Alligator mississippiensis: one gene and its partners. The protein of the gene in region 1 interacts with the protein of each later gene in a biochemical or structural test. Links are inferred from orthologs where the notes say so. Each region holds a gene or a part of one and is shown in the gene's direction. Other genes may lie near its edges. The genes, in order: GSK3B, KLF5, LRP6 and RICTOR.

Evidence for each region.
Region 2: of the proteins of GSK3B (region 1) and KLF5, one has a biochemical effect on the other in vitro, tested with the Homo sapiens proteins (2 studies listed by BioGRID). The link is inferred for Alligator mississippiensis from reciprocal best matches to the Homo sapiens genes GSK3B and KLF5.
Region 3: of the proteins of GSK3B (region 1) and LRP6, one has a biochemical effect on the other in vitro, tested with the Homo sapiens proteins (2 studies listed by BioGRID, with this or other methods). The link is inferred for Alligator mississippiensis from reciprocal best matches to the Homo sapiens genes GSK3B and LRP6.
Region 4: of the proteins of GSK3B (region 1) and RICTOR, one has a biochemical effect on the other in vitro, tested with the Homo sapiens proteins (2 studies listed by BioGRID). The link is inferred for Alligator mississippiensis from reciprocal best matches to the Homo sapiens genes GSK3B and RICTOR.

The regions. Positions count from the first base shown.
Region 1 is NC_081824.1:253,049,579-253,056,814, reverse strand, and holds the start of GSK3B (glycogen synthase kinase-3 beta), read left to right. Parts: upstream 1-4,236; 5' UTR 4,237-4,254; coding exon 4,255-5,065; intron 5,066-7,236. UniProt on the Homo sapiens protein: Constitutively active protein kinase that acts as a negative regulator in the hormonal control of glucose homeostasis, Wnt signaling and regulation of transcription factors and microtubules, by phosphorylating and inactivating glycogen synthase (GYS1 or GYS2), EIF2B, CTNNB1/beta-catenin, APC, AXIN1, DPYSL2/CRMP2, JUN, NFATC1/NFATC, MAPT/TAU and MACF1.
Region 2 is NC_081824.1:389,872,026-389,879,051, reverse strand, and holds the start of KLF5 (Krueppel-like factor 5), read left to right. Parts: upstream 1-4,015; 5' UTR 4,016-4,094; coding exon 4,095-4,286; intron 4,287-6,809; coding exon 6,810-7,026. UniProt on the Homo sapiens protein: Transcription factor that binds to GC box promoter elements. Activates the transcription of these genes.
Region 3 is NC_081827.1:137,072,731-137,080,656, reverse strand, and holds the start of LRP6 (low-density lipoprotein receptor-related protein 6), read left to right. Parts: upstream 1-4,922; 5' UTR 4,923-5,081; coding exon 5,082-5,139; intron 5,140-7,926. UniProt on the Homo sapiens protein: Component of the Wnt-Fzd-LRP5-LRP6 complex that triggers beta-catenin signaling through inducing aggregation of receptor-ligand complexes into ribosome-sized signalosomes.
Region 4 is NC_081826.1:276,976,013-276,982,849, forward strand, and holds the start of RICTOR (rapamycin-insensitive companion of mTOR), read left to right. Parts: upstream 1-3,821; 5' UTR 3,822-3,852; coding exon 3,853-3,901; intron 3,902-3,983; coding exon 3,984-4,031; intron 4,032-6,837. UniProt on the Homo sapiens protein: Component of the mechanistic target of rapamycin complex 2 (mTORC2), which transduces signals from growth factors to pathways involved in proliferation, cytoskeletal organization, lipogenesis and anabolic output.

The DNA.
Region 1 (7,236 bases):
TATCCAGATCCTCCCCGCCAACACACACCAGTTTTCAATTCAGTGCCACCTTATGGCATTTTACAGTGATAACACTTCAACTTAAATAATATCTTCCAAATCTGCAGATATTACAGGCTTTTCTGACGCTTGAATGAAATGAAAGATCTTTAATTTAAATATTTTCATTTATAAATGAGTCCTTCATGTTTACAATTTGGAAAAATATGAATGGCTTACACCTCCTAACTATTCTTGCTTTGAAAGCAACTTGTTATGTATGGCTTTCAGGTTCCAATATCATGTTGTTTTGTTAAGTAAAGAGGACAAAAAGAACCTTAGATTCATTACAATGTTATCAGTAATGCCAATTCTCATGAAACAGTCATGAGACTCCTTATTTCCAAATCAAATTAACTTGCGATCTCAGGATACAACCCTAACATTTTGGGATTTTCCTTCCAGTGTGTGTAAAAAGCATCCAGTTGGTACATCTGTGGAGGGGAGTGTACACTGCTGCAGGGAGCTGAGCTGCACCCCCTGCCTTCCGTGCCTCTGGATGAGCTGCCTGCCACACAACCTGCCCCAACCCTAGGGCCCCATTCCCACCAGCTCCTGCCTTACTTCCTCCCTCCCTGGGGGTGGGCCTCAATCTGCCCTCCCCCACCACTTACCAGCTGAGTGCTGTCCCTGTCTGCCCGTGTGTCTGCCCCTCACTCCCAAGCCACAGCCACTTCAGCCCTGCTGCTGCCTCTCACTCCTGATCCACAGTACTCCACATCCTGCCAGGGTGTGAGGGGATCCTCCCTCCCCAGGCTCCAAACCTCACACTCATATCCATAGCCCCCCCACACCTTCACAAATAACGCCCCCCCCCCCCGCACATACTTAAAAAATGGCATTTAATGATTTACATAACAATCTCTTGATTTTTTAAGTTTGTCTCATGATTTTTCGCACAGTGGAGTTGGCAATACTGTGTTATCAATATAAAGTGTTCAATCATAAACAATAATTAGCTGACTTAAAATTTCCAGAATTGATTTTAGTTCTTAGGGAGATCTAAAATGAATATGGGATCATTGTGTTGTGGTAGGAATTTTAACAGTGGAAATAATCTATGCTGTAAGTATTTGGAACAGAAATTGAAGATGCCTAACACCCATCCAGTCCTTTAATACTCCATTAATAAATCAACGATAATGCCCCAAAAGTTAGAGTGGACTTCAGAAAATTGAATGGCTGGGGCTATGATTGCAGCATATTGGCTTTGTAGAGGCTATAGCTCAGTTATGGGTTAGATTTAGGCAGGATGAGCTTGGTGAAAATAACCAGGTGTAGATTTTTGTAATGAGTATTTTGCATGTAGTTGGCTGATGTGGGATAAGTAGGGTTGAAATGGATGAAAATGTTGGAATTCAGTACAAGTCAGTTTGGGAAGGAAAGAGGGGCTGGGGTTTCTGATAGGTAGATAGCGCTGCAATTTGGAATAAGCAAGAGAAAGAGTTTTTAAGGTCTAGTCTTAAATTTCATAGGTCAATGAGGCTGATGCTTCAGTTATCATAAGACAGTAAACTTATAATAAAGTTTTTAAGGGGACATGTTTAAAATGGATACAATCAACTTAAATATCTCAAGTCAGTATGATTTTCTTTTATTATTTCCTGTTGCTACAAGTAACAAGCAATGTTACTGTAGTTCACATAGAGCAAACAATTTTTAGACTGTCTCTTTGCCAACTAGCAACATTTGATGTGTGAGAGTATAAGGCTTTCAAATTCCTAGTTTTAAACAACCATGTTTTTGAGGGATCCAAACCAATCTGCAGCCCATATCTGGTCCTACTGAGAGGGGACAGGAAAGTGTGAATTTCTAGCTGGGGGCTCTGGGATGGCTGAGCTCTGAATAGCAGGGGTGTTGGGGGTTTTTTAGGAAAGCTTTTTCTTAAAGGAGAGGTTTGGGTGCTGGGCATGGGGCGGCACTTCTGCTCTGCTGCTGAGATTTTAGGATGGTATACAGGCATAACAATGCAGCTGGGCACCTGGGGCAGTGGTGACTTCTGACTGCCGCCATTCTGCCAATGTGACTTATGCAGTTTCAGTGGTAGTTTTTTTCCATACCCCCTCTCAAGTTGGTGCCTACGGTAGTTGTCTTAGTCACCCCATCCTAGTTATGCTACTAGATGCACTAGTACTAAAAACCTACAACATACACTAAAAGCATCAACCTTTCAGCTTTTCAATAGTGTTGTTGTTTCTATGTATGGTTGAGACAGAACTAGGATTATTTTGCCTAAAAAGAGAAGACTGAGGAAGGATTTGACAACAGTCTCCAACTACCAGAAGAACAGTTATAGAGAGGATGGAGATAGTCTCTGTGGCTATAGTGGATAGGCCACAGAAATGGCCTCAATCTGCAACCGAGGAAATTTAGTTTGGAGATCAGGAGGAACTTGCTGACTACGAGGGTGGTCATACATAGGAACAGGCTACCTAGAGAAGTTGTGGAATCTCCATCCCTGCATACTTTCAAGCACAGGATAGACAGCCATAGAGCTGGGATAGTTTAGCTAGGAATAAGCCCTCCTTGAGCAGGGAGATGGAGATGGTTTCATGAGGTTCCTTCCAGCCCTAACTTATATCTCATGAACTTTCTCTGGTCTCTAGGTCTAGGTAAAGACATTGGTCATTTACTGGAGAGTCCAGATAACTTATAGCATCCTTGGCTAGATTGTACGGGAGTGAGCAAACTGCTGAACCAGACTGTTTTGAGTGAGCTTTCTGCTTTGGAATAGAGCTGTTAGTACCTTTGGCCAAGTCTAGGCCAAAGGTACTAACAGGTCTATGGATACCTGTGTGGTGCCATGTAGTTCTGCAACTCGCCCCACACACCTTTTACCACCTCTCATATCCCCTCTGCCCAGTAATTCCTGGGTTCTTGCCAGATTTCCAGACATATGCTATCGGCTGCTTCAAATGCCTATGATGGGTTTTTTATTGAAAAATAACCTGCAAGCAAATAAATGGAACATCTATACCCAAATTACCCACTGCCCAGGGAAAGCAGTATTCAGTGCAGTTGCAGTGACAGGTTTAAAGTCTGGTATTTTATGACTTAGGAGAATTAGAAATTGATCACAGGGGGATTCATACCTTTCCAGGGGGTATGCAGCCTTGGGCACTTTAACACACAAAAACCTATTTTCAGGATATCTTGAAGTTTTCCTAATCTTATTTTGAAGTTTTTTTAGCCTGGTCCCATCCAACTCCAGGTGACCCAAGGCACCTTGAAAGCAGGAGCGAACATTAGGCTGACAGCCTTGGACTGCCCCCTCTCACACTCGATCCTGAAACCATCAATATTGTGAGAAGAGGAGAAGGTTGTGGGCAAGGACAGCTCTGATGGCAAGGCTTGGCCAGCCGTCACTCTGCACCCAGGGCCTTGCTGCCTGTGCTCCTCACACCCCAACTCTTGTGAGGGGCACAGGTGGCATGGCCCAAGCTGGATTTTTAATTATGGGCAAAAATATTTATATTATTATTTCTCTCCTCCTTGGCACAGGGGGAAGGTCAAAGCCCATGACTGGCAGCCCTGAGGCACTGTGCTACCCCGGTTGTCCTGTGGCAAGGTCATGGGCAGCACTGAGGACAGTGGTGGCTGGGGCACGATCCAGCCTGCCCTGGGTGGGGCTGGGGGAGACAGCTCCCCCCCCATGGCCGTGTTTGGGGAGGGGGACCTTGACCCCCGGCCTGGAGCGCACACCCCCTCCCCGCAAGCCTCTTAAGGTCACGGGGAGGGTGGGGGAGAGGGGCAAGATGACGCATGCACCATCCCCCTCCCCACGGGAATGAATGGGCTGGATTCCTTTCCCACCCCCACCCCCTACAGGACGCCGGCTGCGGCCCGGCTCCGCCCCTCCAATGGGCACGCGCTTTGCAGCCAGGCTGCGGCTGAGGATTGGCACAGCACAGGCGGCTGGCTGGCGTCTTCAGGCCGCCTCATCCCCCTTGGCCAATCACAGTGGCGAAACGTAGCCAATCTCGGCCTCCGTAGCTCCGCACCTCCCCCTAGTATCAGGTGGAAGCCTTCTGAACCCGGGGAATAGGAGTAAGGCAGCATCTGATTGGCTTTTCCTCTTCGCCCATCTTCGGAAACGCCCGGAGGAGAAGCCCCTTCACTATTGGCTCTCCGATCCGAGCTGCTAGGGCGGCGGCAGCCTTTTGCCATTGGGCCGGCCTTGGGCTCCGAGCCGCTTCGTCCATTTCCACCTCTCGCATGCGATTGGATCCGAAGCGTTCGGCCATCTCCGCCGAGGCTCCCCCATTGGCTCCGAGGCGGCGGGATGGGCTCCGAGGTCACTCGGCTGTTTCCGTGAGGGGCCGGGTGGGAGCGCGCGGCGCTCGGCTCGGCATTCTCGGAGCCCGCTTGCGGCTGTTACGCAGCGTAGGGCGGCGGCACAGCGGTAGCTGCAGCAGTAGTAGGAGCGCGGACAAAGGGCAGCGCCCAAGGCCGCCAGCCGGGTGGCTCCTATGTGCCCCGCGGGGCGGCCGCCGAGCCCCGCCGACATGGCCCGCCCTGCCGCCGCGAACCGTCCGCACTGCAGCCCGCCCCGCCCGCGATGAGGAACCGCCGCCACTGAGGAGCCAGGCCGTGCAACCGCCTCACCCCGCGCAGATTCTTCCGCCCGCCCGTGCCGGATCCTGTTCCTGCGGGATCCCTCCGCCAAGTAGTCCGGCGCTCCGTGCCGCCGCCCGCGGAGGAGGAGGAGGAAGAGGCGGCGGGGGAGGGGCGGCAAGGGGACCGGCCGGGCCCAGCGCAGCGCACCCGCGGGCAGTGGCGGGGCCGGGATGGCTTTGTGAGGCCGCGCCGAGGGACCGCCGCCGCCGCCGCGGAGGCACGGACGGGGCCGCCCCGCGCCGCGCTTCATGCGGCAGCCGCGCCGCGGCGCCTGAGCCCGGCCCAGCGCAGCGCTCCCGCCGGGGCCGCCAGCCGCGCACCATGTCGGGCCGGCCCCGCACCACCTCGTTCGCCGAGAGCTGCAAGCCCGTGCAGCAGCCCTCCGCCTTCGGCAGCATGAAAGTCAGCAGTGAGTATCCGCCCGGCCCGGCCCGCCTCGCCTCCCTGGCACCCTTCAATGGGCGCGCGGCCAAGGCCTGCCCGCCCCGGAGGACTGGGGACCCGGGCGCGCTCCCCTCCGCCCTGCCCGGCCGCCCCGGGGCCGGCCTCTGCCCGCCAGGGGTCTGAGGCCTGCGCGCCCGCCGCCTCCTTAGTCCTCCCTTCCCCATTCATTTCATCCTGTGTCTGATGATTCACTTCATTCTTTGCTTATTTGGGCACTCGATTATTTGTCTGGTTCATCTCATTATGTACTTATTCGTGCACTTGGATTTTTTTTTTTGTTTAATTAATTTGATGATTTGCCTATATGTGCACTCGATTTTTTTTGTCTAATTCACTTGATGGTTTGCTTATGTGTGCACTCGATTATTGGTTTGTGTGTGCACTTGATTTTTTTGTCTTAATTATGTGGTTACTTGCCTATTTTTGCTCTCGGTTTGTCTACTTCACTTGATCATTCACCTATTTGTGCACTCAATCTGCTTATTTATGCACTTGATTTTTTTTTTTTGGTTTAATTATTTGATTATTTGCCTATTTTTGCACTCAATTATTTGTCTAATTCACTTGATCTTGTGCACTTGATTTTTTTTTTTTGTCTAATTCACTCAATCATACCCGATCTGCTTTATTTGTGCACTTGATTTTTTTTTTGTCTAATTCACTCGATTACTTGTCTATTTGTGCACTCAGTTATTTGCTGCTTTGTGCACTTAATCAGATGAATTTGGCCAATAATCATTTGCCTATCTGTGCACTCAATTATTTGCCTAATTAGTTATTTCATGACTTGCTTATTTGTGTGCTCGACTCTTTGGCTAATTATTTATTAAATTTATTTTATTTCCCCACCCAAAAAAGAGGAAAAAAATTGCCAGCTTGAAGCTGCACTCATGACTGGTTCATGTTGGAGATGCCTTTAAAGCTCTGTTGGTTGCCACGGTGGAAACGGGTGCTGGGTGCCATACCGGTTCACCTCCAGTTGGGTGTGAACACCTTTTGTGCAGGCTTTCAAGGGAGAGTGGCGGGAGGTTCGTCCCTGCAGTAGCTTGTGCATGGGGCTCAATTTTTTTATTTAATTTTTTTAATGCGTGGAGGCAGAAAGACTTCTTTACTGTGTGGTTTGTGACTGTATCAAGACCTTGTTGGAGATGCAGGATGCTTTTCTCACCTTTTTGAAGGATTTATTCTTAAGGCTGAGGCCTGTGGTTTATTCTGAACAGAAGTGTTATGTGCATCTTGTGAACTGGGCAAGTGGTTTAAATACGTGATTGTCCTTGATTTTTCAGCTTGTGGCAGGAGGATTTTGAGGTGAATTAGAAATCTTATCCAAGGTACCTCCTCCATATTGGAGGAAAAAGGCCTCTCTCTGTGTCTAATTATCCATGATACGTGTTTAATTTGGAATTTGTTGATTTGCGTGCACGTTCAAAGCTATAACATTCTTGCGTATCCCTGATTTAACGCAACTTTCAACGCTACTTCAGTTTTATTCTGGCAGGACTGTGGGAAGCTTTGTTAAAGGACCTTGACATCCCTATTGAATTGATCAATTGGATGCCTAAATATAGTTGCACCTGGCAAGGCTGTATCTCTATTAGATTGCTGTGCTATACGTTGAAGCCTTAGCCTCAACCTAAGGCTGTAGGTGATCACAAGCCTTTATGTAGCTGCTGGTGATTCCTGCCTTTTTGTGCTGAAATGTCTCCTGCTGCAGTTGGAGCCTGGTAGAGATACTGGAGTTCAGGATCTGGAGCCTGCCTCTCATCTGCGGGATCAGAGTGCCTGCAGCATTTATGAGGGGGTGTATGTGGGGAGCGGGACAGGGACATAGAGGTTTGCCCACTTTAGCAACATAAGATTATTTCATTGATTAACTTGAACAATAATATACTTCAGGCTCTTAATTTATGTGGAACACTGATTTCCTTTTTTTCATATTGATTAATCAGATCTGTAATAGGAAGCAGGCAGTGTTAATCAGTATTTCTGCAGGTGGCTGTATGTGAAACAGACCCAGAACTGGAGCTGTCACAAGACCATTTTAGCCTTTGATGCAAACTTTCCTTTATTCTTGAAAGATTGGTGTGTGGATGTTTATGCTCTTTGAGGTCAAAGACTAGGCAGGGACTTGCCCAT
Region 2 (7,026 bases), about 140 Mb from region 1:
CTAAAGCTAAGTCCCCTGAGGTAAGAGTGCTGGTTCTGTTTCGATATATTGTGCAAGGAAAAGGAAGATAAAAGCTCTGCATTGCACACCTTGCAGTTTTTTTCTTCTGTAGAAACCCCTTAGATACAGCTCTCAAAGATTTTTTGTTATTGTAAAAAAATAAGTGTATTCTTTTGTATTACCCCTTTAATAGCGCCTCTTCTTGGGTTTTCTCTTCTTTTGTGGTTGACTGCTCTGCCACGTGCCCTAAACATTCTAAAAAGCTGATTAAGGATAGCTCACCCTTATGTAAAGATCTCCCCTCTGTAGTTGTGTACAGAGGATCTGTGAGCTTAATGATTGTCTGTCCTACAAGAGACACCTGATAAGGGCAGCATAAGTTTGCACATCCATGGATTTCTGCAATCACAGTTGTCTTTATGAACGTATAGACTCTTGGGGCCAGGTCCTCTCCCATGCTTCCTTAGCCTTCTGCAGCTGTACACCACTTCCCCACTGGCTGTATGGAAGGGGAGATTCAAACAGCTGGCCAAAAATTCAGGTGACTACTGATATTACTTGAGGAAGAAATATATAGTTCCTCTTTTCCAGTTAGGTTACATGAAAAATCAAATTAAATGGACCGAAACTAATTGAAAATAGGTCCCTGAATCTGCTAACAGCTCTTGAAGTGACTGGACATCTGTGTGTGGCTTAAAGTCTGGCTCAGTTCTGTTGAGGTCCTCAGATTTCCTTCACCTCATTATTATGGAGCAATTTATCCGTGTCTTTCCACCCCCGCTCTGACAGCCTCAATAATGCACATGCAGCCCCCACACACTTTGGCACCTTTCCCCTTGCAAGGACAGTGAAACGTGTGGCCTACTCTAGGATTACATCTGTGGAGATCTACAAATTAAAAGCTTCCCCACCCCCACATCCACCCCTCCTAAACTTTTTTGCTCCCTACCCATTTTCCCACAAGGCAGTGCTTATAGTTGTTAACTACTGCCAAACTTCCAACTGCCTGAAACTTGACATTTGTTCTTGTTTTCTCCTGTCTTCCCTAACGGGTATGGCACTACTAAGCAAAGAGGAATGCAAAGAATAAGAAAGTTCAAAGTCATTGAATCTACATCCATTCACCATGTGTGGATCAATGCCCACTCAAAACCTGGAGCACTTGAATAGCTTCAAAAGTTTTAACCCTTTTTTACTAAATCTGAAAATGCCTTTTTGAGTGCAAAGCATTGTGCCTTTCTTATCAGTGACTAAACACATTGGAAGGTGTTTGTCACATACCCCAATCTGCATGACTAATGCTGCAATAAACATTAATTTTTACTTTTGTTCAGTGGTAAATTAGTTATATTCTGTGGGATGAACAGGGATCTGTGCAACACAGAAATGGTTATTTATAATAATTTCACTAATTCTTAATGCTTACACCTTTTTCGGCAACTGTCAGTCCTCCTGGATTATGGTGTATGCATGAGGGGTTACCCAGACCATTGCCGCATATGCCTAGGCAAGGAGATGCTTACACTAACATTCTTATTTAAATATACTTCACTATGCTCATTTTTAAAGATTTTATACAGCTTTTATTCAGCTTTGCTTATTAAAGCATAATTTGATTCTCAACTTCTAGCTCGATAATCAGTTACAAATGGAAATACTCTAAAATATTTACTATAAGTATGAGTTGGGTCTCCCTGAACATTATTTGACTACAAACTAATATTTCTTTTAGGAATTTTTTCCTTAAATGTACCCAGCCATCTGTCAGTTTATTAGTGATATTAAATGCAATTTTATAAAATCAAACACAGGTTTCAATGTTTTTAAAAAATCTGATGGTAATGGAGTTAAAAAATGTTCAATCAATTGTTTGCTTGGATTTAAATATTCGTTTACCTTACCTGTAATCTAAAGTTTGCAGCAGTGGATTGGTCAGATAAATCAGTGAAAGTGACTCTGAACAATCATTGAAGTGACTTTGGTAATGGTAATTAAGTGCTAACAGAAAATACGTTGTGTCTTCTTTATTTACTTTTTACTAATCTTCCACTGACTATTCCTTGAAAAAAAAAAGGAGCACAAGGCCCATTCCTAGTAACAAAGAAAGGTGGTTTTGCTTGTTCTTAGTTTATACTGTCATTTTTAAATTTAGCATACTTCGAGCCCGCTTCTAAACGTATTACATATATTTTCTCACTGGAATTGCTTGGGTGCATGAAGATTGGCACTTGCCAAAACATTTTTAGGAGTAGGACTTTAACATGAAAAGGAAGCAAATAATTTTTAAAAAGATCTTTTTAATGTTCGGTTAAACATGTAGATGGCAAACATGTAACTAGGGCGCATGTATCAACAAGAGTAGGGAATATTTAAAGCAGTCTAGATGTTTGATTTACATAAATGAATGCAAATAGGTGATATATTGTAAGGTGTGGGTTACACCTGAAGCTCTGCCAGGGCCCTACGTTCCATCCGATCTTTGAGAAAAACTAGGTGAGAGTGAAGTACTGGTCTGTGCGTTCACATGTTGTTAAAACACTGCATTGTTAACGCTATGGCTGACCAATTTATATTTAACTTTTAATTTGATTTATGAGGGGGGTACGCTCAGACCTTGTATGTAGAGTTTGGAGTCTTATGAGTCCAAGTCAAAATCAAAATGTAAGTAAATGTTTTAAAAGGTGAATATGAGAGACATGAAGAGTTACAAGTCTATAACTAAAAAAATGAACTTAAAAAGCGCTCAGGTGAAGGGAATCCCTCAGTTGGAAAGTTTGAATGGAGAATACAGTTTCACTAGAGATACTTTGGAAAGGAAAGCTAGGAGTAGATACTGGGTGAGGCTGAGTATATGGGACAGGATTTAGATTGAAATAACTCTGAATTAGCAGCATCAGGCTGAATCCTAAAGGACCGAAGGCAGTGGCCAAATCTACTTTAGTATGAAGCCTCCAAACGTAGATAAACCAAGCATCTGCGTAAGAGAACTGGTCAAACTCTTTCTTGATTCTGTAATTATCTTTCTGCCTTCAGGCTCCCTTACAGGTCGTGCTTGAAGAAGAGAGCACGAGGTTGGCGAGAGCAGTGATTGTGATATGTAACAAAAGCCTGCCAGCAAAGGCAGGGTGGCTGGCTCTCACCACCTCCTTGGGATCTGTGATTATCGTAACATAAACCGTGGACTGCAGAACCTGGCTGGGAGAAGTGAAGGTGCAAGTACAATTTCCTTTATGGCCTTTCCCAACAAACAGCTTGTGCTTTTCCATAACACCTTCATGTACATAATGCCCTTCTTTCCGCCCCTTCGGCCTACAAATTGGAGGGAATTCTTTCCCTTGTGTAATCTGTGCATTAGGAGGGGCGCTGTTTTTGACAGACCGGCAGATACAAACCAGATGAATAGAATTAGGGACTTTATTTATTTATTTAGCAAAAATCTTGTTGGTCTAAGAAAAGAGATCATGTCTGCTGCAAGAGGTGAATAGATAGGAACTTTCCTCTGGAGAGAAGAGCAAGAGAAACGATTCTCTTTCCCTCTCCCTTGGCTCTTGCTGTGTCCCATCCGTGTTCAAGGGGAGCTCTGCGGGCTGTGCAGGCTGCCATTTCTGAGCAGCAGGTTTCCAGGTCCCAGACGGGACCAAGAAAAAGACAGTGGCGCGGCTGTTTCCCTGACGTGAAGCCTGTGGAAGAAGAAGAAGAAGAAGAGGCGGGCGCGGCGTTTGACAAGGGCGGCGCAGACGGGATCCCATCAGGAGCAGGGCTGTAGAGGCGAGGGCGACACTTGTTGACAGGCACCGGCCCCTTCTCCGGACGCGGCCGGGCCCGGGAGCAGGAGCGAGCGCGGGAGCGGAGAGACCCGCTTCTCCTCGCAGCCCGGCCGGCCCCGCCCCGGCCCCGCCCGGCCCCGCTCGCCATAGGCGGCAGTGCGGCGCCGAGCCGCCCCCTGCGCGGGCCGAGCGGGGGGAGGAGGTGAAATAGTAGCGGGCGGGCGGGCAGCAGCTGGGAGCTCCCGCGGGCCGGGCCAGGTGCGGGCGGATGCGCGGCGAGGCGGGGGCGCTGTGAGCGGCGCCGAGGCAGGGAGCGGCGCCCGGCCCATGGCCGCACGGGTGCTGGCCACGACCGCCCGCCCGGCGTCCATGCAGCCGCCGCAGTCCGACGAGCCCGTGTTCGCGCAGCTCAAGCCGCTGCTGGGCGCGCGCGGCGCCGCGCTCTTCGCCGCCGCCGACCTCAAGCAGCAGCAGCAGCAGCAGCAGGCGGGGAGCGGCGGGGCGGAGGAGCTGGTGCAGGTAGGCGGCGGCGGGGCCTGCGGGCACCTACCTGCCCGCTGCGGGGCGGGGGGCGCCGGACCCCCGGGGCGGGCGCGGGGGATCAGCCGCTGGCAGCAGCGCCGGGAAAGCTCCAGCTGCTGCCCTTGCACTTGGCGAGGGACGAGCCTGGCGCTGCCGCCCACGCATGGAGTCAGGTTGGAGCAGGGGCGGCCGGGCTGCCCGGCACTTTCTGCGCGTCCCGGGAAAGGGGCTGGGAAGGGCCCGCGCGACGCTGGCGGGGCGGCGGCAACGCCGGGGGCTGGGGCCGGGCCGGGCCGGGCCGGGCCGGGCACTTGGGGTGACTAGGGGCCGCCGGAGCGGCTTGTGCTTGGGGGTGTGGGCACACGCACACTATGAGTGTGTCCGGTGGCACTCGCATACACACATGTGCACATGCAAGATTATGTACGTTATATATGAGTGAGTGTATGCATACATGTATATGCAAATACATACATATGTCTTATATACACACACGTTTGTCTATGTATGTGTGTAGATAGATGCAAATACATACATGCATATTATATACACAGAAACATGTATGTGTATATGTGTGAGTGTATGTATATGTGTATATGCAAATACCGATATATTTTATACACAGAAACGTGTGTGTGTATGTATATGTGTATTCGCATATACACACACATTTGTGTGTATACATATGTACATGCGTATGTATATGTGTGTGCACATATATGTATGTGTCTACACAGCCGTATGGAGGCAGATGAAGTTCTTTGGGTAGATGTGATAGCTTTTATTAGACCAGCTAAATGGTTGGGAAAATTGTTCTTTGCACGGTAGTCATAAGCTTTTTGGGTATAAACACCCTTCTTCAGGCAGAGGGAGAGGCTACAACCAGCACCCCCGAAACACTGAACTTCTGTGTATATGTACACACACTCCTGTTCAGTTCACGCAGTGCCATATACAGTGGCACTCAAACGCATACACCTGTGTGTGTGTATACACATGCACAATATATAATATTGTGCGAGTGCCACTGTGTGTGTATACATACACCATATATGTATATGTGTGTGTGTGTGTGTGTATGTATAAAAATTAAATATTATATGTGTACTGTACATGTGTATATACTATTATAATATTGTGCGGTTGTGTAGACACCCGTGCACATGCATAATATAATGTGTGCATATGTGTGTATGTGACTGATACTGTATAGGGCACAGTGTGAACTGAGCAGGAAAGTCTTTGGTAAGCTATGCAGGAACTCACCTGCTCCCAAAACTCAGTTCTTTTTTTTTTTTTTAAGCGTAGTCCTTTGCTAGGAATAGATAGCCCTTCCCTTGGAACTCAACTGGACTGATTCAGTCCCTATGGGAGATTGAAGTGGGGAGGGTGGGAGGGGAAACGTTGTTTCCTGAGAATTTATAATGATGAATATTGAGTGCAAGGATGTTTCAAGTCTGTGGCTCAATGATATCTTCTCAAAGAATAAATATGCTTGACTTCAAAGCAAGCTGCCCTTGGCTTGTAAACAAGAGCTGGAAAATGTAGCCTGGCATGTTAGGGCAGATCTAGATCAAAGAAAAGAGGAGAGTGTGCACACACGCACGTGTGCTTCCTCTCTGAGGAAAGCTCTCAAAATGTAGTTTTTAAGTAGACTTACGGTTTGTCAGCTGCATTCTGTTTTAGGGGTGCTGAAGGGTTTTGGAATGACTGGACTCTTTACAGTGGAAGGGGGAATGTAGCATTTGCCCACTGGAGAGTACATGATAAATGTTTTACTGATGACTGTACCAGTAATGTATCAGGCTTGAGCCACCCACGGATTCCCTAGCACTACTACACTAAGGGAATGATTTCCTAGTAAGTAATTAAAGAACTCTCTTAGGATTGAGACATGAATAGGAACATGTTTGTCACGTTATTAACCAATTATAGGTTTTGCTGATCTTTAAGAAGCCTTACTTCAATCCAAGAGACTTTTTTACTACAGATATGTAGTAACTTTCTGATGTCTTTCCCTTCTCTCTACTTTATAGTGCTTATTAGTTTGCACCTGCTGGGGGCTTCTGTCCAGTAGAATTAATATTTTAAAACTCCTAACTTCCTAGTGTTGACCTTCATAGTGTCAGAAGGTGTGACTTTTACAGTTACTATTTCAAAGAGAAGAATGAGAATCATGCATAATAGTGACAACAGAGTACAAGTCTTGCAGAAACAAGTTAGATGTAAAGGCTGTGCTTTTTGTGCACGTTGTTCAGTTGCAAACAAAAGGAGGAAATAGTTTAGGTGATTATGCTTTCAAAAATATTTTTCTCTTCCTGCATAAATAATTTGAGAGATACTTTCTGATTTGTTTTTGTAGGTGTCGATTAATGCACCAAGAGATGAAACTTGTATATTGATACTCTTTTCCTAAAATAGTTTACTTTTTCACTTTTGAATTCTCCCATGACTGATGTGTCATCTGGTCTGTGGGTTGGTAACAAATCATGTGGATTATATGTTTTGTTTTTTATTTAGACAAGATGTGAAATGGAGAAATATCTGGCACCGCAGCTTCCACCCATTCCTGTTATCCCTGAACATAAAAAATACAGAAGAGACAGTGCCTCAGTTGTTGACCAGTTCTTCACTGACAGTGAAGGGTTGCCTTACAGCATCAACATGAATGTCTTCCTTCCTGATGTTAGTCACCTCAGAACTGGCCTGTACAAATCCCAGAGACCATGTGTAACGC
Region 3 (7,926 bases), on another chromosome or scaffold:
ATTTATTCCGTTTAGTTAGCTAGCTTCCTGATTAATTTTAAGTCAGAGACAGTATTTTGCCATCTGTTCCTTTCACTGGGTGCATGTCTCAACCACAATGCAAGCTAGGCATACAGCTTGAGCCAAGCACAAGGGTCAAACCAAAGCCTCAAGGCCTCTGGGTCCCAATACACGTGACTTCTGGGGAAAGGCCACAGGAATTGGGCTTATGTAGTCTGAAGAGAAGACTCAGGGGGTGGGATTTAATTGCAGCCTTCAACTACCTGTCTGTAGAGTGGTTCCAAAGAAGATGGAGTTAAACTGTTCTCAGTGGTGGCAGATGACAGAAAAAGGAGAAATGGTCTCAAGTTGCAGCAAGGGAAGTTGAGATTAGATATTAGGAAAAACTGTCTCACTTGGAGTGTAGTAAGGTACTAGAACAGGTTACCTAGAGACGGGGTGGAATCTCCATCCTTGGAGGGTTTTAAGGCCTGGTTCGACAAAGCCCTGGCTGGAATGATCTAGTTGGGGATGGCCCTGCTTTAAGCAGGGGGTTGGGCTAGATGACCTCCTCAAGTCCCTTCCAACCTTAATTTTCTATGGTTTGGTGGAAGGGGTAAAGGGGGTTGGGCTCGATAGCTCAGGGAGAGATTCCTCCCCCCTTGTGTTATACAATTCACTACAGATTTTGCATTCCTCTTTTTAAAAGGTTAATAACTTATTTTAAATTATGACTGTACAATTTAAATTACACTACAACATTATGCAATTGCTATTTCTTCTGGACCTAGCTCAGATAACATTCTGCTTTTCCTGCAATGCTGAGTTGTGCTGACCAGGGCTGGATATAGGTCACTTGGTGCCTAGGTGCAGGTAATAGAATGCCATCCTTAGTGACTTTTAGGGGTGCCTGGGACACTCCTGAGTCTCTTTACATTTGCCCTTCCTGCTGGGAACAGACCCCCGCTTCACTTACCTGCCAGGTCCTGATGTTTCTTTGGGTTCTGAAGAGGAAGCTGCCCCAGGGTTTCCCAGTAGGGTCATGAAGCTCAAGAACACCTTGCAGTGACGAGCATCAGCCTTAAGGGCTCTTTGTATGCTTCTACCTTCCCTTAACATGCTCTATGCCTTATAGGTGTTGCCTGTATACCATCCATTTGTGGGGGCTTCAGCCTCCTGAGCTTCTGCTCCTTTTTATCTGGCTAGGCCTACCAGCCAAGGTCCACGATTTAAGACTTGACTTCGAGGCCCTAGCTCAACAAACCACTCTGGGCTCCTGGCCCGTTATACCACGGCACTGGGCTCCCCAGTCTCTTTAACACTGCACCCCTGTGGTGCTGAGTTGTTGGGGCCTCAGCCTTCCCCAACTTTACCCCTTATTCTATACCTTGGCCTCCCAGCCTAGGCCCACTTGGTAGGACCTGACATTGAGGCACTAGGGCATCCCTCCACTCCGGGCTGCGTGCCCTGTATGGTTGTGCCTGCTATAGCACAGGCTCTTTAGCCCTCCAGCTGTGCATTGTGGACACTAATGAGGTCTCCACCTCCCCTACAGCCTCAGCCACAACCAGTCTAAAAAAAAACATAAACAATAAGCCTCTGCGCTATAACAAAAATAAAGGCAAAGAAGACAATTTGCCTGCTTATGTTTCCAGGGTCTCTGTCTCTCTGCATCCCACCACTAGCTGCTCGCTCTCTCATGAAGCTGCCCCTACTTTGTGAGTTCTCAGGAATCCACTCTCTCTGCAACTTAATCCCCCCCCAGCCAGTTTAGGCATCACTTATGTAGTCCTGGCCTGAGCCCTCTTCCAATCACCTGATGCCCCCTCAGCTGACCAACCAGCCAGACTCAGCTTTTAACCCCTTTTCTGCCAGTAGGATGTGCCCTGAAGGCTCTGGTCTTAAAGGGGCTGCCCTGCTTTCCAGTAACAGGGCTAGGGTTCCCTGTTACAGTGCAGCATGGCATGCAGAAATCCCTGCTCTGCCCCTGAGGTTTGCATTCTCCAAATGCAGTGGCAGAGGCAAGGGAAGCCATTTTCCCCATTAAGAGACAGAGGGCAACATTTGGTGTCATTATCTACCCTGCAATGGCAACAGGGGCCCTCTCTAAGTCCCAGAGATTTCCAGCGTTTCCCAGTATCTACCCTGACTGATGATGAAATCTATTTGGCTGGTGGCATAGCTGTACCTCCTTTCACACATCAGGTACTGCCTCACCAGCAAAAGGACACTTGCTGGCATACAAGCATCAACAAGCAGGGTATTTTTTCTGGCATCACTATGTTGGTTAGGTGGCTTGATTTATTTTTTTACATGCTTCTAGTTGACTTAACTCTGATAGGAAAATCTTGTAATGTAGATCCAGCTCCAGCAGACATCACTACTTTCGTTTACACTATTTATATTCTCAAGCTTGTCCTTGCAGTCATTAAACTAGAAACAACCTACTTTATAGAACTGTTTTCCATGGAAGCTGAGATTCAGATATAATCACACGGCTTCAGGACCTGGGGCCTCATGCAAGATCCATAATCAAGTCAAGTGAGTTCAGAGGTCACTGTGACCACTGGGGCACCTTAGATGCTGTGCATTATTGGTGATTCTTCAGGCAAAGTGACATAGTGGCACCCATCTCCTCTCCAGGTATGGGATGGCCGCTGTCTCACAGGGAGCTCATCTGCCCTTTGACAAGTCTTGTTTTTATTTCTGCTGGGTGTCCGCACATACTCCTCACTCAGGCTAGCCTGGTGGGAGCACCGGTTTAGTTGCCAACAACCCGACCCAGAACAGGCTGTACTGGTTTACATGGTACCAGAGAGCAGACCAAGAGAAGCCTGGCTTGACAGATCCATAATACCTAATTTTAATCTGGTTTTGATGCTGATTTCCTGTGATAAATAATAATTTGAAAGAATAAGCAATTATGAAATATTTGTTGAGCAAGTATTCTTTTTTCTGTGTTTCTGATAGGTCTGAACATGTTATGACCATTTAATGTGATATTCTCTCACCTTCTGCCGTAAACGTTTGTGTATTAGAATTGTGTTCTATTAAATGGTTGTTACAAGGCAGATAAGAGACAAAGTGGTGGGTAAGTCCTTATGTATGTCTCATTGTATGAATCAGTAAATGGAGCTTGTAATGTGAATGAAAGAAACTAATGAACAGAAAATGTGTCAGTGGATCCAAGTACAAAAGACCAGAATACCTTGGAAAAGAAGTATTTTAAAGTTCTTATAAATGGATAACCAATATACTGTGCCTCACAAAACTGTGAAAATCTATTTATAGTAGTTTTCCAAGCAAGGGATATATTTCAGTGGACATTATTTGGGGAAATGGTCCAGAAAGTGTGTTTAGGTATGAAACATAGCCTCTCTGTTTTATATTTGGGCTTTTTGACCACTTTCAAAGTAAAAAGGGAAAAATAATGGCGACCAAAAAAAAAGCAAACAGGGACATTTGTGTGAGCAATTGATCAGGCAACATTACTGCAATTAAGCAGCAAAATCCTGACAAAAGGATTAAGGTAAGCAATGAGGAAAGGCAAGATTGTCGCTTGCCAGTTCGCACGGGGGACACGCACACAGATCATAGCTTTATTGTACAATGCAAGTTTTTTTTTGGGGGGGGGAGGAGAGACAGGCTACTGATACTCGAGCACTACACGACTGAGCCAGTTCGTTCCTTGTCCCCACCCCCGGCAGCGGTTTTCAACCCTGTTTTCAGACTGGAGGCCCCCCCGGGAAAACTCTACCTCTGCTTTGAAGATGGAAAAATAACAGGGCAGCTTTTCCCTCCCCAAGAGCTGCGAAGGGCCACCACAAGGCAGAAGGTTTTGAATCCTAGGGATTCCTAGTTGAAGTCTCTGGGTTCGTCCCGGGATCCACCTTGCGTCCCCTCACGCCCAGGGCACACAAAGGAGACCCCAGTCCCCGAGGTCGGACACGTCGCGGCTGCTCCAGCGGGACCCCGCGACCCGCTGCCGGGGGCGTCGCATGCGCTCTGCCGCTGCCTCCCCGCCAGGGGAGCCGCGCGGGCCACCTGCAGCACTGGCAGCGGATCAGGCCGCCCTTTGTGACGCGGCGGCTGCGACTCCGGCTGCTGTCCTGTTCCCGAAAGTAGACCCGGCTATCCCGCTCCCCGAAGGAAAAGGGAGGCGAGGAAGAAAATAGTCCCGTTGGTATGCCGCCGCCGGCGGATGCGTCCCCGCGCCTGTGCAGTGAGGTTTGCAAAGAGCCGGGGCTGCGGGACGCGCTACACACAGTGTGGTGTAGGACAGGGCAGTGGACGGAGGTGGTGTTATGCGATGTACTCCAATGTACAGTAATGTACAGCAGTGAAATGCGATGCACTCCAGTGTAGTGCGATGCAATGTGGGGCAGGGTAACGCACTCCAGTGAATGGATTCATAGATAATACGCGGCAGGAAGGGGCCTTGGAAGACTGTCGTGTCCCGCCGACCTGCACCCAGCAGGAAAGACAGCTGGGATCAGAGAATGTGATGCACTGCAGTGTAGTATAGGGCAGTGAAACGCGATGCAGTCCAGTGCACAGAGGTGCAGTGTAGAGCACTCCAACGCTGCGTGGCGTCCGGCAATGCAATGCACTCCCATGTAGCGTGCTGTATGGCAACACAATGCAATGCAATGCAACGCACTCCAAGGCAGGGGAGGGGAGGGGAGGGCAGTGAAATGCAATGCGATGCACTCCAACCCCCGAGTGCAGTGCCGTGCAATGCACTCCCACGCTGTGTCAGGCAAAGCAATGCACTTCCGGCTGCCCAGCGCACGGACGCACGCAGGGAGAGGGCCTGGAGGCTGCAGGGAGACAAGCGGGGCGGGGCGCCGGTAGGAGGCGGGGCCCGTATCCCTGCGCTGAGCTGCGCTGCGCACACGGCGGGGGTGGGCCAGGCGCTCTGATGGGGGCTTTGCAGCAGCCCTGGCGCGGCGGCGCGGCGGAGGCGGCGGCCTGCTAGGCAGGGGCAGGAGCGCGAGCGCGCCGCGGGGCCCCCCGCCCGCCCGCCGCAGCATGAGCCGGCCGCAGCCGCGGGGGTGCCGCCGCCCGCCTCCCCCGCGCCGCCGCCCGTGAGAGCCGGGGACATGGGGCCCGCGCCGCGGAGACTGCTGCTGCTGGCCGCGCTCTGCGCCCTCGCGCGAGGTGAGGCGGCCGGGGCCATGTTGCGGCAGGGAGAGGGGCTGGGGCCGGGGCCGGAGGGGCTTCGGGGGTCCCCTGAGGGTGGCGCTGGGCTGGGCGCGGGCCCCTTCTCGCCTCCGTGTCCCCGCTCCCCTCGGGCGGGGGCCGTGGGCAGGGCATGGGGTCCTCTGCGTGCCGAGGGGGAAGGGGTGGTCTAGAGGCCGGCCTTGGGTTGAGCTTTACTCCCGCCCCCCACAACAAACCAAGCGCCCCGTCGGCAAGCAGCGTACGATGGGTTTCTTTGAGGAGCGCGGGGCCTGGCGGCTCTGTCCTGAGGAGTGTTTATGGTCCTTCTTGAGCATCTTGAGGGGCGTTAAGCTCCTCTCATCTGTCCTGAGAAGTGTTTAAGGCTCTGCTGAGCTGTCCTGAGAAGCGTTCACATCCTCCTTATCTGTCCTGAGAAGCGTTAGGCTTCTCTCTCCTGTCCTGAGAAGCCCCTCACATCTGTCCTGATACTTGTTTCAGGCCCTGCTGATCTGCCCTGAGAAGCGTTTCAGGTTCTGACCCTGTCCTGGGACTTGCAAGAAGTTTGTGGTCCGGAAGCGGTGGGTTGCAGTGACTGATGCTCTGCATTTTCAGAGCTCCTCTGAAAGCTGGCAGTTGGCTGCCATTCAACGTTTTTAATTGAACTCCCCCCCCTCCCCCCCTTCCTGCGCTGTGGAGCACAAAACTGCAGCCAAGGGATTTCTGTGCTGTACGTTTGACTATAATAACTGTTTCAGCTCATCTGAAATGATCTCTGTTGGTTAGGAGGAGGCACCTAGTTGGCATCTTTTTTTTTTTTTTAATTTACTCTTTTACACAGTTAATAAGGAAGGGGGGGAGGCTTTGATACTATTGGGGGGGAAAAGCAATCCCATTTTTTACTTAAAAGCTGGCCAGCTGGCACTAATGAGTTTGTTTTGATGGGAACTGGAAGGAAGGTGGTTTGGTTTGGAGGAAGTGCTTGATAGCCAGTTGCTCAGTGCTCTGGAAAAGCAAGATTTCGCCACGGCAGTCCTTGTCTTCCCATGCATCTGTTTGCCATATTGTATCCTGTTGGAGGGAGAGTTATACTTAGGTACATGAGCTGTGTAACATTTCATGCCCTACTTGTGCTAGAAAAGTTTGATTGGATCTCAGGAATAGGAATGAACCAAAACTTTTCTGAATACAGCATTTTCTTATTCATGTTTTCTTCATGCAAATGTATCTAGCTCTAACTTTGTTTATGACTTGGCTATTTTTTTTTCCTTTCGCTATAGTGGCAAATGGAGGAGGATTTTGGCACTCATGACTGTCATTTTTTCAAATTAGCACACAGTTGCATATACTTTGCAAGTTTTCATGAACCCTGTGATTCTTAGGGAGAAACTTTTGAAAGACATTAAGTTTGTAAATCATCCTGGATTGTCACCCCCCCCTCCTCCCATCTTTGTCTGTTGCTAAAGACATTTGCATCAAAACAGTATCTTTGTTTCTTCAGAGTTCATCTGCTCCTGCTGCTTCTCTTCCCACCTGAAGTCTTACTCTCAGTGACATTACAGTAATTTCCACAGCAGCTAATTGTTATTTTGGATACCTATAAGCAGCAGGAGCAACTAGCTGAGTGCTGAAAGAAAGAAAGCTTGAATTTTCATGCAGATGCCCTTTCTAATAAACAACATATGATATGCAAGCAGAATTGGCTCCAAGTAAAATGTATTCAGTTTTCAAGAGGTGTCAGCAGTTTCTTAATGAGGCAAAAGCAGTTGCCAGCTTGAGAATGTTAGAGGTATGATTAAGTTTATACATGCAGGTAAAGGGGAAGTTTGGCATATGTGTGTTTACTTCTTTCTTTGTGAACTCAGCACTGTGAAATGTGCCAAACTAACAGCATGGGAGATGTGAAGGATGCTTGATGTGCAAAAGATGCAGTGGAACACATGCTTTCTTTGCCTACCTAATAGCCAGATGACAGCAGTAATTTCTGTTAACGTGCCTACCAACCCAGAGTGAATTTAAACCAATATCCTGGAAGTATAAGGTTGCAATTAAATCCCTTATGATTAAGACTTGGAAAAATAGCAGACACCTACTAGTTAAAGTGGATATGTAATATATAGGACCTCTTCACCAGTCCTGGGACTGTGAGAAGCCAGGCCCGCTACCAGGTGCAGAGTGTATGTTGGATTTATAGTGGGTTGATGTCTCTGGAGCCTACTGAAAAGTTCCTTTGCTTGTGGCAGCCTCTGGCCTACTTTGGCAGCTGGAAAGAGAATATGTGAGGAGTCCACCTTATCCTAGAACTGCCCAATGGCTGGAATTCTCTGAACAGCAGCAGTGCCTGCTATTGCTTGGAGCTTTCTCCAAACTACAGAGGAGTGTGATGGACTTGGTTCGTGTCAGCTTCACTGTTTCCCACTGCATTTTAATAGTAGCTGTGAAACTGCTGGAGTATTATTAGATTATTCAGTGCTGCATGGAGGCAGCAGTAGCCAAGGAAGATGATACCACTTAAGTTTACATTTGCAAACTTAACTTTCCTGTCAACCCTGCTAGGTATGCATCAAAAGTTGACTGAATAGAAAGCTTATAAATCATGTATGGGCTTTACATATTGCAGTATTTGAATACTGAACAGGTCTGCAGTTGTGGTTTGGGTCAGTTCTGTAAGAAATGAAGTGTTTGGTTGGGGGACTGACATTTCAGTGATTGCTTTTTCTCATTATGTGAAGAGATGTAGAATTTGTTTGGTAACTATTTTTATTGGACTAACTGTGTAGTTGGGAG
Region 4 (6,837 bases), on another chromosome or scaffold:
GGATTGGGCCCTTTTAAAGGGCTCTGCAGCCATGTACTTGTGTTAGGTCACAGCTGTAGAGCACTTTCTGGGGCCAGAGTTGTCACTTCTGTCCATTCCTATTGTTATCCAAGTTATCAATCCCAGGATTTGGAGGAGCATGACAATGATTTTAAAGGTTAACGACATTTTAAAGGAGTCAGCTTTTTACATTATAGGCTTGCCAGAATCCCAGTGAAGACAGGGTTCTCATGTGTTTATAATGATCTGTTATACCTAAGATTTAAGAGGTATTCCACTGTCCTCCTCAACTCTGATCTGGATTGATTTTGATAATTAAAAATTGCTTTCATGACATTATAAGGTGATATTTTAAGTCTACTGAATCAATATTAGTGTTTTTAGGGAGAAAGTATCACAAAGGACAATTTAAAATCTTTCATATATCAATCAGTTTCTAATCACTGTGGTATTTGATAAATAAAATAAGATTTTGATATGTAATGCCAGGTTTGAGTGAAGCCACTGCTATTAGAAGAGAGGAAGTGTGAGTGTGGGAGAAGAGGGACTATGAGACAGGATGATTAGCTTTGGTTGTAAAGCTATTTTTTTTAAATGGCAGACCCTCACCCTTGCCTTTCAATTTGACATAGCTTCTATATGAACTCCTGGAGGTTGGAAGGCCTTGAAGGCAAGAATTGTTTTTGTTTGTTGTTCATCCTGACCTTCAGGGCACAATGTAAGGCATGTTTGTTGATTTAGACCTTTGCCTGAATGGGACAAGTAAAAAACATGGTGTTTTTGTGATAGGAGTCCCTGTGATCAATGGGGGAGGGGGGGGGTTGGTAAAAGAAGTGTATTTTATAAAAACAGCTAAAAGAAATGCATCAATGGAGGATATTGTTGACATGTAACCCATGATATCACTTAGGAACAAAATAAAATTTTTCCACCCTGGGTTGATTCTAAGGTATCGTGTTCTCATTTCACATCTCTAAAAATCAAATGCTCTGAAAAGCATATTGCACACAGAACCCATGGATGTACACATGCAACTGAATGAGTGATGGATGTCTGATGAAACTAGATGTGTGATGGATCAAGGGATGTATGTATGTCTCATCTTAGAGCAGTGGTTCCCAACCTTTTTTTGTACCAGGACCCATTTGTACACATCAGTGGCCAGTCCTGACCCACTGCCCCCTGCCCACAGCCCCCCAGTGTGTGGGGCAAGGGAAGGTGTGCGGAAGGGCAGGGAGGCAAGCAGCCCCTCGCTGGCTGGAAATCTCTGCCACCCTGCAAGGGAAAACTCATGGTTTCTCACATTTTTCTCCTTAAAGGAGAATCTATTTTTATAGTTTGTTTGCGACCCTTTCCTGTATTCTTGTCTCACTTTTGGGTCACGACCCACAGGTTGAGAAACACTGGCCTAAAGCACACACAGAAAAAGGGAAAAGCAATTGGGGAAACCTCATTAAAAACCCCCAAATAAAAGGGACAAGTCATTTCACAGGACAGACCAACATGTCCCTGCAGGGGCTGAATGATGCCAGAGGAAGTCAGTGTCCAGCTGCACAGCCTCCTCAGTAAGGGGAGCCCACATAAGAACTTCCATTTCTTGGGTCAAACCATAAGCCCCCTCTTTAATAAGAGAAGCCACGAAGGGCCTGACACCTTGCTTAGTCCCTTGTGTCACACAGGAGCAGATACCAAGTGACAGGACACCCTCAGCAGGGTCAAGCCTATACTCCATCCCTGTACTCCACGCTGATCCTGCAAGCAATCTGGGACCTCAGCTGGTAGCTCCTCCAAAGCTGTTTCTACTGGCATGTATCAGGTGTGCTTCAGATTTCTGTAACACCTGCCTTTTTGTGAGCAGAGGGAGACCCTGGCACACGCCTGTCTCAAGTATGGCAGGCTGCAGCCCCTTCATCACCTCCTCCAAAGCCTCCAGCTGAGGTTCTAGCTGCACTAATCCCTGCATCTTTTTGTTTACATGCTCTTCATCCCTGGCCCCACCAAATCCCAGGACCTCTTGGCCACCATCCTCCTGGCCCTAGCCAAGCTAGCCATCAACCTAACCAGCAATGCCATATCTAGACTTCTGGCGGCTTTACAAAAATAGCTTTACAACCACAGCTAATCATCCTGTCTCATAGTCCCTCTTCTCCCACACTTGCACTTCCTCTCTTCTAATAGCAGTGGCTTCACTCAAACTTTTAGTATCAGGCCCCCCTTCGCCAGAGATACTGATAATAATTGGACTTGTTGCAAAAGTCTTTATTTCATCTGTGGTACTGATGTCTTTCAGTAGCTCATTCTCAACTGATAACATTGTCAGTCCCATATATGCGCAATAGTAAAACTTTTTTTTGCAATTGTAATTTTTTTTTCATTTTCAGGCCCCCCTGTCTGGGCCCCGGGCGGCTGCCTGGTTCGCCCATGCCTGCGTCCAGGTCTGCTAACCAGGAAGAAGGTTTTGTCCAGGGGGACCCCCAGTGACTGCAGGGCCACTTTCCTATCCCTTATCCTCTCACATCTTTGGGCGGTTTGACTGGGCAGTGCCCACTGGCTCCTTGGGTGGGTCGGAGGCCCAGTGGACACTGTGGGGGTGCTCTGCTTGGTGCCCCCTCTTGGAGCACGTCATCAACCTTTGACACTCACTCCCGCTCATTTTGCTGTTCATCTGTTCCCAGTCAGTGTTGCGAGATGTAATCATCATATTTGTACAATATCTCAACCCTTGTATGATGTACAATCAATAACACTAAGGGTGCTCAAAATACAGGGTAATTTTTAAAGGATGCATTCAGCAGCCATGTTGGTCTGAGATGGAAAGACATCTTGGTTCAGAGATGATCCCTTTTATTAGACCAAGAAACTGCAAAAAAATTATCTTTTTCTGCAAACTTTCCAGCTCACACGCCCTCCCTCAGGCTCAGGGAAAATTAAAGATGGCAAAAAGTCCCCATACGTAGGGAATTAAGAATTTTTTTAAAAAAAATTCTGTAGTGCAAGCTGAATGAACCAAAACAAATTCCAAATCCAAGTCAGTCCAGAGCCATAAGTTGCCCTACTACCGGGATATACCCTCCACCCCCATCTGGGGCTTCAGATGGTTCCAAAACCCTTGGCGAGCATCCTACCTGCAGGGTGGATGCCCCCAAGTTTCAGTCGCCCTAAGGCCATAGGAGCAAGCCAGGGAGCAGCCTCCCCTTTCCATAAAGTGGGCGTAAAGCCAAGACCTCCTCGCTCCAGCAGCTCGGTGCGAGGTTTACTATACACTACCTCTGCAGGTCCTATCCCCCTGCCAGCGGAGCTGTCTCTCCTGGTGCGGCTAGGAAGACAGGCTCCGTGGCCACGGCGTTTCCCCTGCCAGGCAAGCACAGGCTACGCTTGATCTGAGCCCACTGATCAGAGATAAAGAAAATAAAGAAATGACACGGGGGAATTTTTAAAGACATTTGTGTTTGCTGCCAGCACTTCCTGACCACCGCTGGCCTCGAAATCAAGAAACGCTTCAACTTGGACCGCCCAGTTCTCCATCGCTCATTGCTAAATTAGGGAGGAAGATAAAGAAGATTCTCGGCATATTTGTTTGCATTGCACGATCGTTTTGCAGTGAACACCATCATCCGCAGCGTCCACGAGACGGTCTCGCACTACAGACCCAGCCGCCGAAACCGCACCCACCTCGCGCTGCAAGATCTGAGCGTCCCGGCGACAACCCCCCCCCCCCCCCCCCCCGTGCCCACGTGCGCGGCGAGGCGGGGCGGGGCGGCGTGACGCACCCGCGCTAGGTGGGGCGGGGCGGGGTCGCGGCTCTCGCGAGAGCGCGCGAAATTTCCGGTGTTGTGACTGCGGGCCGTAAACATGGCGGTGAGTCTCCGCGCCCGCTCGCTCCGGCACCTCCGCATCCGAGGTAAGCGCCGGCCCGGCCCGGCCCGGCCCGGGGGCGAGCGCCGCCCCCGCCCCGCCTGACCCTGTCGCTTCTCTCCCCGCAGGGCGCAACGACAGCGGCGAGGAGAACGTCCCGCTCGATCTCAGCCGAGGTACCGGGGCCGGCGGGCGGGCGGGAGCCCCTCCCCTCCCCGGGGCCCGGCCCTCCTCTCCTCTCCTCTCCTCTCCTCTCCTCTCCTCTCCTCTCCCCTCCCCTCCTCTCCCCTCCCCTCCTGCGGCACTAACGGGAAGCGACCCCGCCCGCTCCCGGCTGCAGGTCGCCCGGTCACACCCCAATGGGTCCCTTCCCCGTCCCTCCGCTCCCCTGGGACTTGGGAGGCTGGTACTCGGCAAGGTCCCTCCCGACGCGTGGAGGTGGCCGAGGTGGTGTGGGCGCCCGCGGGCCTTCCCCGCCACGCCGCGCAGGCGACCGAGCCCTTCGCTGTGCACAATCGCGGCCTCCCGGGTGTAAACCTTGCCTCAGCGTGGCGGGGAAGGGGGGGGGGGGGATGTAGGGGCTTTCTCTGTGAGGGTTAAAAAATAAATTGGCTCCGAGAGCACAAAGGTAACTTTCATTTTTTTTTGTGCATGTGCGTGCGCGTGTGTGCGTTTGAGCCCTGCGGGTTTCCTTTGCTGCTGCAGGTCGAGAACTTGAGGCTGTTTCAGCCTCTGTGGTTGCAAGGAGTTGAGTGTTTTGCTTCAGAAGACCCAGTGGTGTCGCCACCCTGGATGCACGCGGCTTATCAAGAAATCCAGCAGGGCCGAAGAGATGGAAGCAAAGGGACCAAATAGGCCCAGCAGTGTAATGGAAGTAGGGTGCTGGTCGGGAATAACTTAAGGCAGCAGTTCCCAAACTCTGAAAAATTGCGCACCACCAATTTAAAACAATAAAACCTTAAGTACCACCAGCAGATTTTCTCATATAAAGTAATTATAATAAATCTGTTAACATGTACCAGTGACAGGTTGTCTGCGCAGTGCTGGTGGCACCCGTACCAAAGATTGGGAACCACTGACTTAAGGGATCTGTATGGCTGTCAGTTAAGTGTCATTGTGACAGAGCAACACCAGAACGTTTTCTAGTATGAGCCCTGTCATGAGAGATTTATTGTAAAGCAGATCTGTTTATTTTCAGGGTTTTGACCCTTCTAATTGAGGAAATGCTTAATTTTAAACTCTAGCTATTAATACATCATATAGATGGGTTTCTAAAACTGAACTGGTGAGAATTTTGCCAGCGGATGAGCTGCTAAGTCCCCTACCCTGCAAACATGCATGTGATCGTTTCACCTGCAATATTTGGGTTTCCTTGTGCATAAGAGAGAATATGTGCAAGCTTGTAGAATTGGGCATTTATGATTCCCATATATGCCCAATAATTTCTTGTAACTGCATAGTTTTCTATTTATTTAGGCATCTTCTACAGATTACTTGCAAAACCCTATTCTTCTGTCATTATAAGCCTTGTATAAGTTTTGAAATACTCTACTCACAACCTAAAATGAAGTTGCCATTTTCTGAGAATGGTGAAACCTTAAACGTTAATACCCCAATTCTGAGAAAACAGTAGTGGAAGTGACACCTGTTTCTTTCATATTGATTGATAACTTTGTATCGCATCTATAAGTCTTTTTAAAATTAGAGATCGTATTTTGCAATGCTCTGAGTCTGCTACTTCAGTTTTGGGTGCTGCTGAATAGAGAAGTTATTTGGCTGTGTGCAAATTTAGATACCCGTTTTTAATGTAACATAATAGAAAAAAGATGCCGTGTGCTCTGGTAATTTTAAATTGGCAGATATTTTGCTGTAAACCCCCAATTAGAGCTGCATATGGGACCTCTTTGAATTTCATTTGTACTCCCTGCCGAAGGCATGTAGTTTTGAAATAAGGATCAGGTATTAATGTAATTTACTCAGGGTTGGCAACCTGTGTCTAGTAGGCCACATCTGGTCCATGGAGGTACTTAATCTGGCTAGAGGATGCGGTGCTTTGGTGGCATTTGGTGGCAGGGAACTTCTATGGGGAAAAGCATCGGGGGTAGGCTCACTCGGTGTGCCACTTTGGAGAAAATCAGTGGCAATGGCTGGGTCCTAGTGCCCACCCGCATGCCAGCTTCTGTCAGAAACTGGGTCACTTTCGCCTGTCTCCTGAAAAGACTGCTGACCTCTGTTTTAGAATGTTTTCATGTTAGAAACATGTGCTAGGCCTAATGTTCCTCCAAGATGTACTATTCCCAGTTTATAGAAGAGAGAACCAAGGCACCAAGAAGCAAATCGAGTGTGCCCCAGCAAGACATCACAGCTAGTTATGTAACTTGAAATAGACATCATTGCATACAATATGAATGTTCATTTTCTTCCTCCACTTGTATAGCAGCAATTTTATACATAATTAATTTAATGATATTTTACTTAGAGAAGGATCTGTATACTTTGTTATAAAACATAGTTTTAATGTCTGTCTGTCTGTCTGTCTGTCTCATATTGTATTGCATATATGCCATAGTTGCTGCAAAACATTTTAATAATTTGATACTCTTTTAAATGAAGCTTTATTTTTCAGAGAACTAAATATGAAAACCACTGAAATAAAGTATCTGATAAATTAGTACATTCATGTCTATGTACTAATTTACCTCTGTTTATGAGCATCTCTTATTCCATGTATATATATGTATGTATATATGTGAATAATAACTTGTTCTAAGCAGATTTTAATTGAGCATTGACTTGACCAAAATGACAGGTAAACATGTGGCAAGGACTTGCACACAGTTGTCTTTGTGTAGCTAGGTCAGAAATAGTGCTAATAATTCAAACAGGCTCAGACTGTTTTGTATAATTTTGGCATGTCTTTCTTCCTTCCAGTTGCCTTTTGTAGTGAGATATCATAGAGTTCTTTCTATGTAAAACAATGAT